Ovis aries: one gene and its partners. The protein of the gene in region 1 interacts with the protein of each later gene in a pairwise test. Links are inferred from orthologs where the notes say so. Each region holds a gene or a part of one and is shown in the gene's direction. Other genes may lie near its edges. The genes, in order: EPAS1, BMAL1 and BMAL2.

Region 1 (6,043 bases):
TTCTCTGTGATTTGGGGGTTTCTGAGCTGGGATTCAAAAGAATGAATTCCCAAGGAATGAAAGTAAGTGGGCAGTTCAGAAAACTATCAGAAATCCTAACATTAGTAAACTTTCATTTGAAGGGACTTGTTGATTCCTTTTTAAGGGGAACAGAGCATTCTAGACTGGGGAAGAGAACTATATTGGGATGCAGGGTTCTTTCTCCAGTGTTTTTATGGAGAAAAGCAAATGTTAAATGAACATTCAGAACATTCTGGGAAAGGAAGGAAGTCATATGCAGGTAGCCTAGCTGAGCAGCTGGGAGGCCAAGTGCAGAGGACTCACAGGCTTTGAAGAGGCTCTGTGTGGAGGTGGCTGGGGGCCCAGTACTGCCTCAGCCCCCACTGGGAGCGGGAGGCTTGCTTATGCCTTTGCTCTGGGTCCCAAACCTTTTGTGGCCCTAAAGGTGGCGGGTCTGACCAATGACTTGAAACAATCAGGATATCGGTTTTGTGTTTTTAAAACTGCCTATGTTCACATGCAGAGCGTTGATGGTGGGTCTGCTACCAGCAGCTGCCGAGAACAGGCATTCTCCACGCTGCCTGCAGGTTCCCCCCACCTGCAGTGCGGGGCAGAGGAGGTGCTCTTGCACCCCAGGTGCACGCATGGATCTGCTGGTGCCCCGTGGAGCAGCTTCCTCTCGTTGACCTTGAGGGGAAAGAAGAGCAGGTGCTGTTCTTGGTTTCCACTCACAGCTGAGCCGGTGTGAGCTGACCTGTCAAGGGTTGGCCATGGCCGCTCCCTTACAGCCAGCCTAGGGACGTCAGCTAACCTCTCTGGACCGCCTTCCCCACGTTTAACATGAAGTGTTGGGCAAGACGCTCTCAGCGCCCTTTCCCCCCGCATCTTTTCCCATACACTGCCCTTGCCTCCCTGACCTCAGGCCCCGTTTCTCCTCCCCTAGTGTGCACCAAGGGTCAGGTGGTGAGCGGCCAGTACCGGATGCTTGCCAAGCATGGGGGCTACGTGTGGCTGGAGACACAGGGGACGGTGATCTACAACCCTCGCAACCTGCAGCCCCAGTGCATCATGTGTGTGAACTATGTCCTGAGGTGAGTGTGTGAGGGCTGGGGGCCACAAGGCTGGGGCTGGGGTGTTCCTGAGACTGACAGTGCGACCCAGGGACACCAGGCTCCTCAGAACCCGGGCACCACACCTTAGAGTCCTTGGCGGTGGGCATCCTGGGAACAATGGGACATTGGGATTTCCCTTTGATGGCACTTTTTCTGCCCCTTGCCTCTCGTCTGTCATCTGTCACGCCTCCACCCTATGTGAGGGAGGCAACTAGAACACAGATGAAGCCTAACCTGTTTTCTGAATGAGGATCAAGGGAAGAGAACTGCTCATACTTTTGGGGAGCAGACGTAACACCCTAGCTATGTAGAACTTGGGAAGACAGCTGGAGAAAGGCAGTGCTGGGGTGAAACAAAAGCAGAAGCCTTCATGTCTGTGCACACCACTCAGTCCATGTACAATATAAAAACAGCATCCAAGACACATACATATTGTGAGGCTCTCTTGGCATCGCTAGGCTCCAGGACTCCAAACTACCATCGTGCAGTTCTTTACAAAATGCTAACACACTGTCCATATCCATGGTTTTATCTGAGAGGCTTAGCTGTCAGGGCTTCAGTGTGTCTGGGAGAGCAAAAGGGTTTTGATGGAAAATGTGGAGGGTCTGAAGCTCCCTCTCATCTCAACAGTGAAATTGAGAAGAACGACGTGGTGTTCTCCATGGACCAGACAGAGTCACCGTTTAAGCCACACCTGCTGACCATGAACAGCATCTTTGATAACAGTGGCAAGGTGGCTGTGTCTGAGAAGAGCAACTTCCTGTTCACCAAGCTGAAGGAGGAGCCCGAGGAGCTGGCCCAGCTGGCACCTACCGCGGGAGACACCATCATTTCTCTGGATTTCGGTGGGTGCATCTTAGCTAGGCCAGGGCAATCAAACCCTCTTGGGGTGGGGGAGGCCTCCCTGGCACAGGTTTCCCTTAAGCAGAGCTGCCGTGTACCTTCTCCGAGTCTTGCTAATCCTCCATTAGTGTGGCCAAACCATGTGCTGTGCACACGCACTCACCGTGCTCGGGACTGCCCCATGTCTCACCTCTCAAGGCACCGATCCAGGTGGGATCCGGTTGATTCTGCATCATGGGCAGTGGGAGTCTGAGAGGAGAGGTCTCGGGGATCTGCTCTGAGGCCGTGGGCATATTTTCACAGAGTGGGCAGATCTCCACCTTGAAAGACAGATTGTGTGTTTAGGCAGAAGGCTTCTAGGTTGAAATAATGTTGGGAGAAATCATCCCAGAAACATGGATGGAGAAACAGATTCGGGCCCAGCAGTAAGTCCTTACATGCACGTCTTTAAACGTCTACCTGTCCCCTGGGGATGCGAGTCCTGGTGGCCCCAGCAGGGTTTCCAGCTCTTAACCCTTGCTCTGTACCTGCAAGGCCCCTTCCTCTCCATGTGGCAACTGACCACCATCACCCCCAGCCTTACTGTGGCCCCTCAAGGAGTAGCTGTACCTCCCTGTACTTGCTCTGAAGTGGCTTGGCCTTGCTAGACGTGTTCTTGAGAAGCCACAGGGGAGTCGTGACTGCAGAGGGTCACAGAGGGCAAACCTGGGCCAAGGAGTCATGCAGCGTCCCAATTTTGTGGCAATAACGAGGTGACTTGCCCAGCTCTCATAACCTTCTCCTCTGCATTCTAGATTGTCCTTCAGGGAAGAGAGGCAACTGATACATTTAATCTCTGAAAGTTAGCGGCTCCAAGAGGATGTTCCCATTAAACAGAGTCTGTACATTGAAGCAAAGCCCTGGTTGAAGGCCTCTTTAACCCAACCAAGCCTCAGTGCACCAGGGCCTAGCCCCAGGCACGCTGCAGACCCTTTTCGGAACTCTTGTGCATCCTTCGGGCTTCCTCTGTCCTGGGGGTGAGCCCAGTGGTTGTGGGTGCTAACCAAGCCAGGCCCTGTCTCCACAGGGACCCCGAACTTTGAGGAGTCCTCAGCCTATGGCAAGGGCATCCTGCCCCCAAGCCAGCAGTGGACTGGAGAGGTGAAAAGCCACGGCACCCACAGCGAGGCCGGGAGCCTACCCGCCTTCACCGTGCCCCAGGCGGCCGCCCTGGGGAACAGCACCCCGAGTGCCAGCAGCAGCAGCAGCTGCTCCACGGTGAGCCCCCTGCCTTGGGTTGAGGTCATGGAGAGGGTGCGCTCCTCTGGCCGCGGCCGGATGGCTGAGTGGACAGGCCAGGCCCCAGTGCTGCGCTCCTCTTCCTCAGGTTTCCTGCAGACCCCAAAGGTGGCCGTGAGACTTGCCTGCCACATATTAGATGCTTGCTGTTGGCTCTCCACCCCCATCCACAGAATAAGCTCCTTGAAGACAGGGGCTAAGTCACTCATGGCTGTGAGCCCTGCACTCAGTCTCCATGCAGGACAGTAACCATCCTGCAGGGCGCAAAGGGCCTGGCCAGCCATGCTTCTGTCTGGCTTGTTCTTCAAGACGGCCTCATTTTATGGTGAGGAGACTGAGCTCAGAGAGGTTCACACAGCTCATATGGAGTGGCCTCTCTACAAATCCTGTTCCATGGAATGGAGTTGACTCTGAGATGTATTTCTCCTTCCACCTTGGACTTCTGGGGAAAGCAGTGCCATAGCCTTGACTTGGTCACCTTCCTTCCTGGCCCCTAGCCCAGTAGCCCTGGAGACTATTACACATCTCTAGATGACAATCTGAAGATTGAAGCAATCGAGAAGCTCTTTGCCATGGACACGGAGGCAAAGGACCAGTGTGGCACCCAGGTATGTAGCCCTGGAGAAGATCGGGATGGTGCACCAGGCCTGCCTGCCGATGCTGTGAAGGCTTATGCCCATTCTTGCAGCCTCGGCCCTTTGTTGCAAAGACTAGTGGGAAAGCTTGGCCAACGCCATAGTCCCTTAACTGGGTGAGAGTGCAAGGAAATGGAGCCTGTGGTCGCCTGCTTCTCCCACGTCTGCCTTCTGCTTTACCCGTGTCAAATGCAGCTCTTTTTAACTCTCCATATATTTATGTCCACTAACTTGGCTATTTATTAGTGCTCAGAAAGCCAAAACTACAACTGAACCTTTCTTTAAGGAGCCCTGCATTTAAAAAGCATCCCCAGATGTCCAGATGTGTAAGACTTTTCTAAGCACAGGGAACAATTCCCTTTATATACATTTTCATTTTAGGATTCTTTGAAATAACTTATGTTAAATGCATTTTAAAATGACATCTGACAAATTTTTATTTACACATAACTTTTCAGAAACATATTACATAAGGCCAAACAGTCTTGTAAAACCTGTGTAAACAGGCTAGGGTGTGGGTGGATGGTATGTGTGTCACAAAACCCAAAGGAAATGTATTAATCCCTATTTGTCTTACTCTGGGTTATTCATCCAAATTTCTACCTTGCCTCCTCAGTTTGTGTCTTTATTCTGCGATCTTTCCCTACTTCAACCCTGCACTTTCTTCTCTGAAGTCTAAGATTTATTCCTTGAAAAGAGAAAGTGTGTGACTGGCTGCTGCTTCTCTTTAACCATCTCATGCAGTTGTAACCATTAATAAGCTACCTTCCCCCAGGGAGGGTTGAAATGTTTGTTTTGCTGCATCTGCTTGTGAGGATTCGCTATGGTGCCCATACTGGGATCATGGGGGCCACCTCTGCTTCCTTGTTGATCTGAATGAAGGTCCCACAGAGAGCACTGGGCCACGGTTACCCTACGAGCCGTCTACAGATACACCCTGGGCACGGGCGGGAGATGAGGACAAAGCTGCCCTTGGCCCCCAGGAGCCATCGTGCTCATCAGAGTAGGCAGGAATGAAGAGGTGGGGCCGACACCAGTGGGGTGTGTGGAAGAATGACTGAGTGGAAGGCTGGTAACGTGTGTCAGAAAACCTTCCACACTTTGAGGACACACGTGTGCTTTCCTCTCTTGGGCCCCCAGCTTCCAGGCTGTGCAGGAGGAATGCCTCGGGTGGGGGTGGGGGAACGAGGGACTAAGATGAGGCAGCGTCCTTGAGGCAGCACCCACTGCTGAGCTGCTTTGCCCCTGCTCTGTGTCTTCTAGACTGACTTTAATGAGCTGGACTTGGAGACCCTGGCGCCTTACATCCCCATGGACGGAGAGGACTTCCAGCTTAGCCCCATCTGCCCCGAGGAGAGCCTCCTGCCGGAGACCCCCCAGTCGACCCCGCAGCACTGCTTCAGCACCATGTCAAACATCTTCCAGCCACTGGCTCCGATGGCCTCTCACAGCACCTTCCTCCTGGACAAGTATCAGCAGCAGCTGGAAAGCAAGAAGACGGAGCCTGAGCAGCGGCGCGTGTCCTTCACCTTCTTTGATGGTGGCAGCAAGGTGTCCCTGCTGCAGCGCTGCGGCCAGACCTACACCCCTCTCTCCTCCATGGGAGGCATATCCAGCACACAGTGGCCCCCTGACCCGCCATTACAGCTGGGGCCCATGAAGTGGCCTGGCGAAGATCAGCACGCAGAGGCCTTGGGGACAGTGCCCCTGGGGGCCCCCATTGCCACACCCCATCTCGCCACGTTCAAGAAGAGGTCAGTGACAGAGGCGCTGGGCTGCATAGGGGAGGGGGTACAGACAGGTGCCCACTAGGGGCAGGTATGGGGCTCCAAAAGGCCCCTTGCCCCATCACCAGTTTCCATTCGACAGCGGTCCAATATGCCACGTGGCCCTTCTCTAAACTTTAGGGGATTCGCCCTAAGATACGTGAGGCCTTGAGTGGGACACGTTTTATCAGAGCTGGAGGAGACCAAGAGGGAACTGCAGACAGGGAAAGGGAAGGAAGTGGCTTGTCCTGGGCCCTGCATACCAGTGGCTTCCTGAACTACCCCTTCCTTTTTTTATTCAGAGTTCATGATCTGAGCCACAGACCACCCACACACACAACATGGAGGGACATTTCCTCAGTTCAAGTGTGGAAGCCTAGTTGAGAAAAGTGAAAAGATGCCCCTGCCT
Region 2 (6,043 bases), on another chromosome or scaffold:
CCATATATATGATTTTAAATTTCCTGATAGCTACATTTGAAAAAGTAAAAATAAATGCAAAACTAATTTTAATACTATCTTTTACTTAACACTCAATCCAAAAGGAAGTCTTTCTGATTTTTTTTTTTTTTTTTTGCCCTATTTCTTTGAAATCTTGGGTATATTCACATGTTCAGCACGCTTCCAGTTTGAAGATCCCAGCAGCTGCATGTAGCTAGTGGCTCCCGTACTGGGCGGCATAGGTCTAGAGTGGGGCTCAAGCATCTTCAGGTCAATACAGCATCTGGGGGTTCTGGTGTCCAGCCAGGCTTGAGAACTCGAGCCAACCCTGTTGCCTCTGTTCCGTTCCAGTGTCCAGACCTTGCCCACTCTCCAGGTCCCGGCCCACTTTCTGCCTCCTCAGGGAAACACCGGTGGTTTCTGCCCTTTATTTGGCACTTTTCAGTCATACACCATGTGTGGCATGAGCACAGTCCGTCCGGTCAGCTTCCATTTCCCCCCCCTCAGCTCCCGCTGAGAAGAGGGTCCCGTGTGTATTTCTTTGTTCCCCGGAGCGCGTAGTCCATCCATCAGTAGCTGCATTCTGCATGTTCTAGAAGACCGGCAGGCCGACAGCACCCCATGTGCAGAGCATCTGTGCAAGCCTGTGAGGAGGAGTGTTGCTGTCAGGCCCCTGTTACAGAACAGAGAGGCAGGAAAGAAAAGGCTTTCTTCAAGGGCATGCTCCCCTGCCTGACAGACAACACGACCCTCAGTTTATCACGTTTTGTGTATTGATTTGCAGCTGGACTTCCAGTTAAAACAGATATAACCCCTGGGCCATCTCGATTATGTTCTGGAGCACGGCGTTCTTTCTTCTGTAGGATGAAGTGTAACAGGCCTTCAGTAAAAGTGGAAGACAAGGATTTCCCCTCCACCTGCTCCAAGAAAAAAGGTAACCACTTAAGAGTTCATTAAATCCTTTCACGGGTGAGGCTGGCCTTTCCACAGAGGGGCTCTCAGTAGGGTGTGGGCTCAGAGCAGGTGGGTCACAGGTTTGCAGCCAGGACCTCTGTGGCCCTGCTTCGGTGAGGGCAGCTGGGGAGCCACAGGGAGGCGGGAAGCCCTGACAGATTCGTGGAAAGTCTTCCTCTGTTTCAATTCTGTTCATTTTCGTGTGGCTCGGGAAGAGTATTCTCAGTCACAGTTCCCTGTGTCCCCAGCGCCCGCCAGAGTTACCCTAGGTTCACCAGTGCCTACAGGCGGCTAGGAGCAGCGGACATGCCATTTCTCTTCCACGGTGAAGTGTTTCTTCTCACCTTGCTGCCCCCTCCCGCTCTGAACTCTCCTCTGAGTTCTTTCTGTTGGTTCCTTTCCAGCCCTCTTAAGAGGAGTAGATACATACAACAGTCCATAGGTAATGTCACCCACCCATGTGGCTTTCAATGACATTTATATGCCAGTAATCTCCAGGTTCATATTTCTAGCCCACACTGCTCTTTTGAACTCCAGATTTGTAAACTAACTGCTTATTTAATCTACCTGCTTGGACATCTCTAGAGCATCTCATAGGTGATAGGCATAGAAGTAACCACCCAGGCTTCCTCTGGAATGTTACGGCAGCTCCTCGCATCGAGCTGTGTGTGCTGAGAGCCTGGGAGACACCGTCTCCCCGTTTCCCTCCGCCCTGGCCTAGGGTTCTTGCTGCTATGAGTCACTCCTGAAGAAGTGTATTTGTTACTGCCATTACTCGATCGAGGCTGTCCTGGGTCTCATAAGTCTGTTGAAGTACTTTCCTCACGCTTTCCAGCCTTTCCCATGGCCAGAGTGACCTTTCTAAAAGCAAATCTTTGTATCTGTCCCCTGTTTCAAACCCTTCATTGGTTCCCATTGCTCTTGAAGAAAAGTTTAAAATCTTTAATGTGACCCTGTAGCGCTCTCCCTTGACACTCCTCCATAGGTTTGAGCCGTGCAGACCTCCGTTTGATGCCTCCAACCCCTTTCCACTCAGTATCTGCACACGTGGTGTCACCTCTGAAGGAAGTGCCTCCCTCGCCACCAGCTCCCCTCCCTGGCTCTCTGCAAACCCCCCTTCAGAGTGGACCCCGATGTCTGTCGCTCAGTCCCTCAGACTGCCTTCTGTCTGCATGGCACACCCTGCAGGTTTTCCTTGTGACACTTGCTCCCATTGCAGTTATGGAGTCATTTGTGGGTTATTTGTTTGAAGTACCTCCCCCCCATTAGACTAAATTCCACAGAGGCGTGCCTGACTTGTTGTCCACTCTTTCCCAGTAACTAGCACAGACCCGATGCTTGGTAAACATTCCATAAGAATGTGTCTACTGGGACTTTCCTGGCAGTCCTCCACGGCAAGGGGGGCACAGGTTTGAGCCCTGGTTGGGGAACTAAGGTCCTGCGAGCTGCGACACAAGGCAGCCCGCCCCCGCCAACAACAAAAAAAAATATGTGTACTGTTGAAATTCACGGATGCTTCACGCTTAACGTGTCCCACACTGAAATCTTTCTCCCTCTCCTCTAAAACACACTCTGTATTCTCTCCCCTGAGTCAACAAATTGTACCTGTAACCACTCAATCCGAAAAAGTTGGACTCATCTGTGTTTTCTTTTTTCATCCCAAATATTTGATACTCAGACCAGATCCCAAAAGTTCAGCCCAGAAATTCCCCTGCGTCCTTTCTGCCTCCCCCTTATCTCCACAGCACTGCCATTGTGAGTCCCTGGCATCTCTCGCTGATTACTATCCTCCTCCTGGCTTTTACTGTCTTCCAGTCCCCCACCGCCCCCCGTCATTAAAGCATCCAAATCACGATGTGATTTTGCTGTTTCCCCACTGTAAGTGCCCTTGGAAACTCTCCATTTCCAGTCTGGAAAAGGTTAACACCTTTGTGAGCAAATGATCCAAGGCCCCAACAGTATGCTGCCAACCTACCTTCCCAGCACTTACCCCCAGCACCTCCCTTTTCACTTCACCTGCATGGAGCACTGTGCTGTTTGCTGTACAGGATGCCCCTCTGGGTCTTTGTACCTTCTCAGCCTTTACACATTCTGGTCCTTTAGCCGGTGCCCATCCCTCCCAGCTCTCCTCCTACACAGATCTTCTGGGCAGCCTTCCTCTGCCAGGGGGATTGTGCTGCTCCTTCCTTGGTGTACGTGATGCCCATTTGGTGTCATCATTGCTACGAAACACACATGACACTGGATCATGCCTGATCTTTCTGTCTTTCTCTTTCACTTGATGCTATCTTCTGGACAGTAGACTTTGATTTTTATATTTTCAGTCCCTCCCTACATCTCAATGCACGATAGGCTGCCTGTGCTTCCAGGCCCCAAAGCCCCACTGACATCGGACTTTGCTTTCTAGCAGATCGAAAAAGCTTCTGCACAATCCACAGCACAGGCTATTTGAAAAGCTGGCCGCCCACAAAGATGGGGCTGGATGAAGACAACGAACCAGACAATGAGGGGTGTAATCTTAGCTGCCTTGTCGCCATCGGACGGCTGCACTCTCACATGGTTCCACAACCGGCAAATGGGGAAATCAGGGTGAAATCAATGGAATATGTCTCCCGGCACGCGATAGATGGGAAGTTTGTTTTTGTAGACCAGAGGTAAGAGTCTGCACGTTACCCTTGGACTGTCTTGGCAGCAGATTTTCAACCTTGAGTAAAGCAGAGCAGACTGGGCCATTGGCTGCCTTTCTTAAGGATAGAGAGGAGGAAGTGACGGGTGGATCTGCTGAAAAATGAGACCTAGTGGGTTATCATCATAAATACAGAAATTTTCTCCATGTCATTCTTGGGCAGGTAGAGACAGTGAAGTGGGGTGGCTTGATGTCCGTGGCTAAGAGAGAAATAATAGGCATAACATGCTATCTGAATCTATGGAGTGTTCCATTAATTACTGTAATGTGAGTTCTGGGATGTGGGACTTTGAAAAGATTATCTGGTCTTGAGCTATCAATACAGTAGTCATTGGCTATAGTAACCCCATATATTTAATCAATTAAAGTTAAAATGTGAATTTAAATTCCCCCAGCTCACTAACCACATTTCAAGTATCAGTAGTCACATGTGGCTTCCCTGGTGGCTCAGCTATAAAGAATCTGCCTGCCAGGGCAGGAGATGCAGGTTCAATCCATGGGTCAGGAGGATCCCCTGGAGAGGGGAATGGCACCCCACTCCAGTATTCTTGCCTGAGAAATCCCATAGACGGAGGAGCCTGGTAGGCTGCAGTCCATGGGATCACAAAGGATTGGATACAACTTAGCGACTAAACAGCAGCAACAGTGGCTAATGGTACCTGAACAGAACATTTCTGTCTTCACAAAAAGTTCTGCTGGACAACACTGATCTAGTCTGGTCTCATTCTTTATGGCTGATGAACAGAGGCTCAGCCTGAAGACCAGCCCCCTCCGAGATTCGTAACTCATTGGCCGTAGACCTGGGCTAAGAACCCAAATTTCCACTGCTCTCTGCTGCTTCCTTACAAGTATCCACAGGCTAGCAATTTTTCTGGCCACTGGAAATAGCCAGTCACTAAATACTAGAAAAGGAGGCAGCCGCTTCTCAAGGTCCCTGTGGGCCCCACGACTGGGGCTTCTGGTCACTCTGATAAAAAGCAGGCAGTAAATTGGAGAAGTTTTGACCTGGAGTTTAGAGTCCTATCACTTTTTTTTAATCTAAAAGTTACTACTTTTAAACCTAAAATTTGATGTCTTGTGCTAACAGCCCCTTTGAAAGTCTTTGCTTTCTCTCTCTGTTTTTATAACCCCGATTAAAGTCAGCTTCATGAGAAAGAACAAAACCCATGTAATAAGCCCTCTGAACCCCCCCAGCTTTGACCTTGTTTTCATTGGCTGTAGCAGGAGTCATCCACTGCAGAGATCTGTTAATTGTCTGAATGTTATTTTATTTAAAAAAAAATTTTTTTTCTCCCTTTTAGGGCAACAGCTATTTTGGCATATCTACCACAAGAACTTCTAGGCACGTCGTGTTATGAGTATTTCCACCAAGATGACATAGGACATCTCGCAGAATGTCATAGGCAAGGTTAGCTGCTGGGCTGTACACCAGTTCTGAAGTTTCAAGTGTCCTCCTTCTAGACATGTCCATGGACCCTTGCAGAGAAATCTGCCCCTGTGAGGTGGGAGTCAGCCAGCCCAGGGACCTGCAGGCCAGAATGTCTGGGAGGAGAGGGTGCTGCTCCTTCCCCCAGGCCTCATCTACCCCCTTCCAGATAACCGCCCACCCCGACTGCCTAGTAGATCTCTACATGGGCTGGAGCAATTTCTGGAAGGCACCTCTGGTTCAGAGGGTTTCCCTGGACTATGTAAAGATTTAGTGTGGCCCAAGCGGATCTAATTTCCTACAAATCCCTGCACCGCCTCCTGCATTTTCCTCTTGGTTAATGACGTGGCCACGTACATAGCCTCCTGAGACAGCAGCCAACATTGACTCCCTTCTTTACTCTTTCCTCCGTCGGAACTGTTCATTCATCTCAGCCATGCATCTCCAAGGAGGCCCCTTTCTGCCAAGCCCCTGATGCAGCCCTGGTACCCACCTGATAATTGTGATGGACTTGCCTCTGCCCCGCCAGTCCATCTTCTATTGCTGTCCCGCTTATGCTCTGACAGACTGAGCCTGACAGTCACATCTGTGCTCAAAACCCCCTGCGCAGTCACCTTTGACAGATGCTCAAGACCCTCCACGTCCTGGCCCTGAGCCACCTCCCCAGCTTCACCTCCCGACCCAGTCCCTGTCTGCAGAGGCCTTGTCCTCCAGACGCACTGACATCTCACTGTTCCCACTCCCACCCCAGGCCCTGCCACTCCTCGGGTAGCACTGGGTTCTTCCCTCCTTCCTTTTGGCAAACTTGTATTCACCCCTGAAGGCTCTGATCTCCTCTGCGTAGCTGTCCCTCATTCCTCTCCTGAGGGTGCAAGTCATATCCTGTCTCCTCTTTTATCTCCAGTACTTGGCACATGAAGCATACTTGCTACATGTTTGTTACATGAAAGAATGAGGTTTCCATGGGTGAGATGCCA
Region 3 (6,628 bases), about 110 Mb from region 1:
ATCTTTTTTTGGTAAGAGGAACAAAGTCTCCACGGGGCCTCAGAGGGCCAGCGTTTATGGAACTCCTATTATGTACCAGGCATTTCTTGGCCTCATACCAGCCCTGTGATGTGGGTGATACTATCTCCCTTTCATCGATGAGGTGAAAAAACTGAAGCTGTAGCCAGAAATTGACAAACACACCTGAAGTTAAACTCTGTGGCTCCTGGCTGGGCTGCTCTTCTTTCTTTCCTGTCTGCTTGGATGGTTAATGGGCAGTGTGCTCACTGCCAGACACTCTCTTTGTCTAAAGAGGGAGAATTATGGTTGCAACTTCTCCCATTCCTGGAGGGAAAAAACAAAACAGGTCTCTATGTCAGAATCCAGGGCCATGGGTTTTTTCCCCCTGGCGCAAAATCCCTCCATATTCCTTTTTCCTAGGCAGATTGACATTCAGGCCTTCACAATAAAATGAAAATCAGGGAATTCTCTGGTGGGCCAGTGGTTAGTGGTTAGGGCTCTGCTTCCACTGCAGGGGGCTTGGGTTCAATCCCTGGTCTGGGAACTAAGATCCCACATGCCATGCAGTGCAACCCAAAGGAAAAAAAAAATCTAATAATGGTGATATGGAAAAAAATCCCCATGGTTTGATTATACTGCTGAAAACATTGAGGGAGCTGGTTTTGAAGATGGCCACCAAAAATCAGCTGGTACCTAACATGATTGCCTGCTCACTTGTTTTTGATGGGTTGATGGTAAACAACAAGATTAAGCAAGCTGCCATGCCAAGTGACTGGCTGGCACCTTCTGGTAAATGATTCCAGAATCTTTGGAGTTAGGGAGCAGGCATTCTCAGGAGAGCAGCACATGTACCAGGGCTGATTGCCAGATTTCGTCTTGGGTTTAGGCATCCAAGGGGCAACTGTCTCACCTTCCCTTCCCCCACTTTTTACCATCCCCTGTTTTCACCTGGGATGTTATCATACCCAGCTCTTATGAGGGGTAGTTCTGCAATTATGTAGTGGCTTAAATTCATTTTTGTGACTCAGATATTGAAAGTCACGTCCTGGTCCACTGTGCATAAACTACTCTTCTTGTCCGAGTCCTTCAGTCTGATGTGCGTCACTCAAGATAAACCAAGATGGGCTAAAAATGACTTTTGACATGTTTTAGGGGGAGGAAAGCGAGAGGAAAAGAGAGAAAGGTGGAGGAGTGAGAGAAGGGTTGGAGTAAAGAGAGAGGAGGAGAGAGGGAAAGAGCTGCAGAGAGACGTTGAAGACAGAGGATGGAGAGGGTGGAGAAGGGGAGTGGAGAGGAGCTGATCCCCGGTGGCGGTGGCAGTGGCGGTGGCGGGTTGGAGGAGGGCTGAGGAGGGATGGAGGTGAGGAGAGACGCAGGGGAGGAGGAAGGGTAGGGACTGCCACGCATTAGAATTTGACTCCAGGGAAAAAAGAAATCTAATGTTTAAAATACATGGGAAAGCCAAAATATTAGTAAACAGTGATTTCAGTATACTTTTTTCCTTGTGGAAAGACTTCTTGATTCTGAAAAGCATGATCTGGACTTCCCTCATGGTACAGTGGATAAGAAACCGCCTGCCAATGCAGGAGACATGGGTTCAATCCCTGGTCTGAGAAGATTCCACTTGCCGCAGAGCAGTTAAAGCCTGTGAGCCACAGCTACTGAGCCTGAGCTCTCGGGCTCACAAGCCACAACTGCTGAAGCCTGTGCACCCTAGAGCCTGCGCTCTGCAACAGGGGAAGTTTCCACAGTGAGAAGCTCGCACATCACAATGAAGAGTAGCTCCCGTGCTCCACAACTAGAAAAGGCCCAGACAAAACAACAAAGAACCACCAGCACAGACAAAAAAAAAGAAAAAGAAAAAGCATGATCTCTTTCTGTGTGGTGAACATTAATTAGAGCATCCTTTTGAAATCTCTTCCTTTGCATAATGTTCAGGATATCATAAACAAGATAATAAGATGTCATTCAGTAGCCCCAATTTCAGTTGCCTTGGGCTGAAAACCTCGGTGCCTGGCATCCAGGTGGTTAGTCAGCATCAGCACCACCAGGGTCTCAGTGAGCCAGCAAGAGGCAAGTGTCTCATCTACTCAGCCCCCAGTTTTTAAACTTAAAATACTTTGAAACTAATTAACATATTTAAATCAGTCTAGATGTATAATATTAAAATTCTCATTTGAAAATACTTAGTTGTTGGTGGGGATGATTGGAAATTTGTCATTTATCTCAGTAAATTTCTGGGATTTCGTTTCTCTTTAATCTTATGATTTAAATCTCTAGATAGTATCTTTACCGAAAGAGCGAAACAAAGAAGACTGAAGGAAAAGGAAGCACAGAGAGAATCCTTCTTCCGCTCAACCTGGTTTGCATTATGGTGACATGGAAGTGAAGGTTGCTCGGTCCTGTCCGACTCTTTGCGACCCCGTGGACTATACAGTCCATGGAATTCTCCAGGCCAGAGTACTGGAGTGGGGAGCCATTCCTAGCCTTTCCTAGACCACGGGATCTTCCCAACCCAGGTCTCCTACATTGTAGGCAGATTCTTTACCAGCTGAGCCACAAGGGAAGCCCAGGTTTGCATTACAGGAGATTTACAGTTGAGGGTCAAGATGATTGCCGTAAAACAGCAATTCCCAATACATTCAAAATGTTTTACTTACAATATTTAATTGAATTTCTTAAATGTTATTTTAAAATTAATTTTATTTATTTATTTATTGGCCCTACTGCACAGCATGTGGGATCTTTGTTCCTGGATGAGGGACTGAATTCAGGCCCCCTACAGTGGAAGCCCAGAGTCTTAACCGCTGGACTGCAAGGGAAGTCCCATTTATTTTTTTACATAGATAAGAAATACACTTTGCCCTCTGTTCCAAGGATAGCGCAGGCGAAGTGGAGAACCATCCACTGGCTTGCTTTCTCGGCACCTCTCCAGTACTTCTCCTTTACATGTCCTACATAGTTATGTGAGGGAGTCTGCCTTCCCATGTATGGTCCAGGCCTCTCCTCAGGCCGTTGGCTGCTCCTAGACTGCCCTGTCCTCCCTCCAGATGGGCCTGTAGGGGCTCTCCTGTAGTTTTGAAGGCCGAGCTCAGATGTCACTGTGTTTCTTCTACCCCTGGAACAGAAGAGCTGGTGCAGGAAAATGCATGAACTTTGGACCCAGTGGGAGTACGTGTGTGTGCGTGCTCAGACGTGTCCAACTCTGCAACCCCATGGACTGTAGTCCACCAGACTCTTCTGTCCGTAGAATTTTCCAGGCAAGAACACTGGAGTGGGTTTCCATTGCCTACTCCAGGAGTGGGAGTGTGGGTGTCAGTTAATATACTAGCTCTGTGACCTTGACCAAATTATTTAACTTCTCTGAGCCCCAATTTCCTCGTCTATAACATGGCGGTAAAAAATGACCTAACTTGAAGAGTCATGTGACAATTAAATGAGATGATTCCAAGCTAGTGAAATCTGACCTTCAACAGATGAGTTTCCTTCGCCTCATGAACCCTTCCCAGAACTTCTCCTACCCGCTGATGGAAATGATTCTTCCCTTCTATTTCCTCACTGTGGTTTTTGGCGTGCCTACGAGAACCCTGTGCCCACTTGCCATGCCTTGTTTAGGTACGTATCTTAGCTCCATCCTTGGGTTGCACATGCCTAAGAGAGCAGGGTAGGACCTGGCTCATCTTTACAGTCTTCACCTCCTTGCACTTATTAAATACCTAACCAAGCTTTTTGATTGTAAGTGACTGTTGGTTTGAGGTGCTGACAGGGCTGGTTTGTTCATAAAGCATATTGCTGTTCTAGGCAAACAGAGAGAAAGAAACGGATGAAACAAGCAGGATTAAAGAGCTTATAAAAGGAGAGATGAAAAACGGCCAAAATATGTGTTGTAAAGACAGAACCTAGCACAATCTATGGTTTAACTGCTAGGAGTGAGCCTCTCCACCTACATTTGGGAAGAATTATATCTAGTTTGTGGGGGAGTTGGCTTTCAGAGAAGGGGTCAAGTTTAGTATTGAAGGATAGATAACTTGTGGAGGCAGCAAAGAGGGTCATCGACAACAGAGATTAGACGTGTATATGGAAAATCATCAGTGATGTGCTTGGAAGAACTGGTGCTGGTCTGGCTGGGAAAAGTGGGAACGGAAGAACTGACCTGTCCTTGCCTTGTTAATGTCACCCAGCGCTGCCCTCCCACCTGTGATGCGGCAGGACAGCAAATGAGGAAAACCTGAGTTACAGGCTCCAGAAGGAAAGATCCGAGCACCTTCTTTTTGGTCCCTGGCCAGCAAGAGACCAGTTGTATCACCCTGAAATGTTACTTGCAGCATATTTCTGACCAGAAAGAACATCAGGGATCCTGGTTCCTGCCAGAGGATTAGTTATATGGTCTTAGCTTTCCCTCCAGGTGCATCTGGGCCACTACTTTCGCCCATCCTCTCTTCTCTGAAAAAAAGTAGCTGCTTCTATCTTTAAATCCATTTCACACTGCTTCTTCTTAAAACCGTCACTGGTGCTGTCTCATTTATTCCTGCTGCAGCCTGCTGGGAAGCAGGTTTCTGGACTTCCATCCACTGTCCAGTGTAATGGCCACTGATGTCCTCCTCTTATGGACATGTGCTCCAGGCCTCCTTGCAGACCCTTCCTATGCAGCCCCAGGGTGCAGGACTGAACAGAACTATCAGCCTTGCCTTCCAAGACAAGCAGGGAAGGTTTATAAACCCAAAGGACTCCATTGCCATGCACGTCTGAACACATTCCTAAAAGAGCACTCCTGCAAACGCCTGTGTGTGATAACATCAGAAGATGTTTGTTGATTCAGACTCAGTGCAGAGGATCTCTGGCATAGAAGTTACTCAAAGGCAGAAACACTTAGGTACATCAAAATACCTCTTCATCTTTTCTTCTTAGGAGAGGAGAAGAGAGGGAGAAGAGATTGTCGTTGAGCCTGGATGGTAACAAAAGTATAGGTATTTTATAGACAGATTGTAAAAAAGAGATCAGTATACGATGGGCAGACTTGAACACTTTACAGAACAGAGATCAATATATGTTTAAAATGAATAGAAGATTGTGACGATTAGTAATTGTTTTGTCAAAATCTAGAAAACAGTTTTGATTGAAAAATTGAACACAGTTGCCAGCTTTATGTTTATTTCTCTCCTCAACCTCCTGGGTAGAGAATTGGATTTCCTCTCTGACTTACATGGTACCCAAAGGTAGGCCATGCTCACACTACTGTGGAGACAACAATATGGACTTCTAGGGAGGCCATCTCTTCTCTAATGAGCCATCCAGGCAACAACACTGACCTAGAAAAGAGAGACCAAACCCAATTTCCCATGCATCCTGAGGCTAGTGGCTTAAGACAATTCTCTTTTCTTTACCTTTCAACTTGAGTTCAACTAGCACTTTTGGCCTATCAGTTCCTTTCAGCAGTAACCATTGCTACTTCTGGGACATGTGGGTCACAAACCATGCAGCCTGATCTTAGAAGAACATTCGGATTCACACCTCAACTTTCAGAAGACATCTAGGACAAATTCTTTATCAAGAGGTTTTAAGTAATTTTTTGTTAGGCAGCTTTGGATTCTGATCATCATTGTAACTATGGTATGTTAATACATAAATAATATTAAAGTCATTAATGGTGTGTTGGGTTTTATTACTTTTTAAACTCATACTGTGTTTCAGTTTGTAGGGCCTTAGCATTTTCTTATTGCAAAGTCAGTGCTTCTCCTCTCATCCCCTTTAAAGGGTCTTTCTTCTTTCTAGAATAATCACCACTGGGTGAAAAGATACATAAATACTTCTGTGAACACTGATGAATTCTCTTTCTCAGAGTTAACTGAGGGTGTCTTATTTTGTTGATACGTTAGAGGTGAGGAACCATGATATCTTTTGTAGGTTCTGTATCGAATCTGACATATCAAGTCATGCCTGGTTAGTACAGATCATGATGATAGTCTACAGCATGTTTTCTGTGTACTCATGACCTGCAAGAATTGTATTTGCCTGTGTAACAGTGATGCGGGTATAGCTCATCAAAATTGTTTCTGTGCCTTTTGGAGAAACTTGCTGATGTTGAAAACGCTGAACTCTGTATTCTTCTTATTCTTGAGGATAAGTCCTGGACCAAGTTAGGGGAATTTTCTGTTTCAGTGTAGAACAAATTCTGATGAGCTGCTTTTTCTTGCTCTTGCCCATCCCTGGATTAGGTTATAATGCCTATGAAAGGTTGGCCTTTTCTGGAATAGTCATCACCAGGGTAGCATTGTTAGGTGCTTATATCACTCTGATTACATTCTGCATCGCAACTGAATGGTTTCCCACGACTCCGATTTACTTATAGTCATCATGGGTGTTTCTGTTCCCTCTTTGCCCCATTTCAAAAGCTTAGCATGGATGATTCTCACCTTTTGGTTCTTCTAAATAGTTAATAATTCTTAATATTTACTATGTGCTAGTTGTCTAAATGCTTTACATGGTATAATTCACAAATCTTCAGCAAATCTATAAAGTAGTACTATTATTGTTTCATGTTTCCTTTTTAAAAATTATTTTTAATCGGAGGATAATTGCTTTACAATATTGTGTTGTTTCTTCCGTACGTCAACATGCATCAGCTATA

The links.
Region 2: the proteins of EPAS1 (region 1) and BMAL1 interact in binary tests that used the Homo sapiens proteins (3 or more experiments, as listed by UniProt). The link is inferred for Ovis aries from reciprocal best matches to the Homo sapiens genes EPAS1 and BMAL1.
Region 3: the proteins of EPAS1 (region 1) and BMAL2 interact in binary tests that used the Homo sapiens proteins (3 or more experiments, as listed by UniProt). The link is inferred for Ovis aries from reciprocal best matches to the Homo sapiens genes EPAS1 and BMAL2.

The regions. Positions count from the first base shown.
Region 1 is NC_056056.1:77,967,724-77,973,766, reverse strand, and holds part of EPAS1 (endothelial PAS domain-containing protein 1), read left to right. Parts: intron 1-943; coding exon 944-1,091; intron 1,092-1,742; coding exon 1,743-1,957; intron 1,958-3,021; coding exon 3,022-3,212; intron 3,213-3,730; coding exon 3,731-3,841; intron 3,842-5,131; coding exon 5,132-5,622; intron 5,623-6,043.
Region 2 is NC_056068.1:39,064,932-39,070,974, reverse strand, and holds part of BMAL1 (basic helix-loop-helix ARNT-like protein 1), read left to right. Parts: intron 1-784; coding exon 785-934; intron 935-3,361; coding exon 3,362-3,608; intron 3,609-4,941; coding exon 4,942-5,048; intron 5,049-6,043. UniProt on the Homo sapiens protein: Transcriptional activator which forms a core component of the circadian clock.
Region 3 is NC_056056.1:188,138,351-188,144,978, reverse strand, and holds the start of BMAL2 (basic helix-loop-helix ARNT-like protein 2), read left to right. Parts: upstream 1-2,880; 5' UTR 2,881-3,476; coding exon 3,477-3,615; intron 3,616-6,628. UniProt on the Homo sapiens protein: Transcriptional activator which forms a core component of the circadian clock.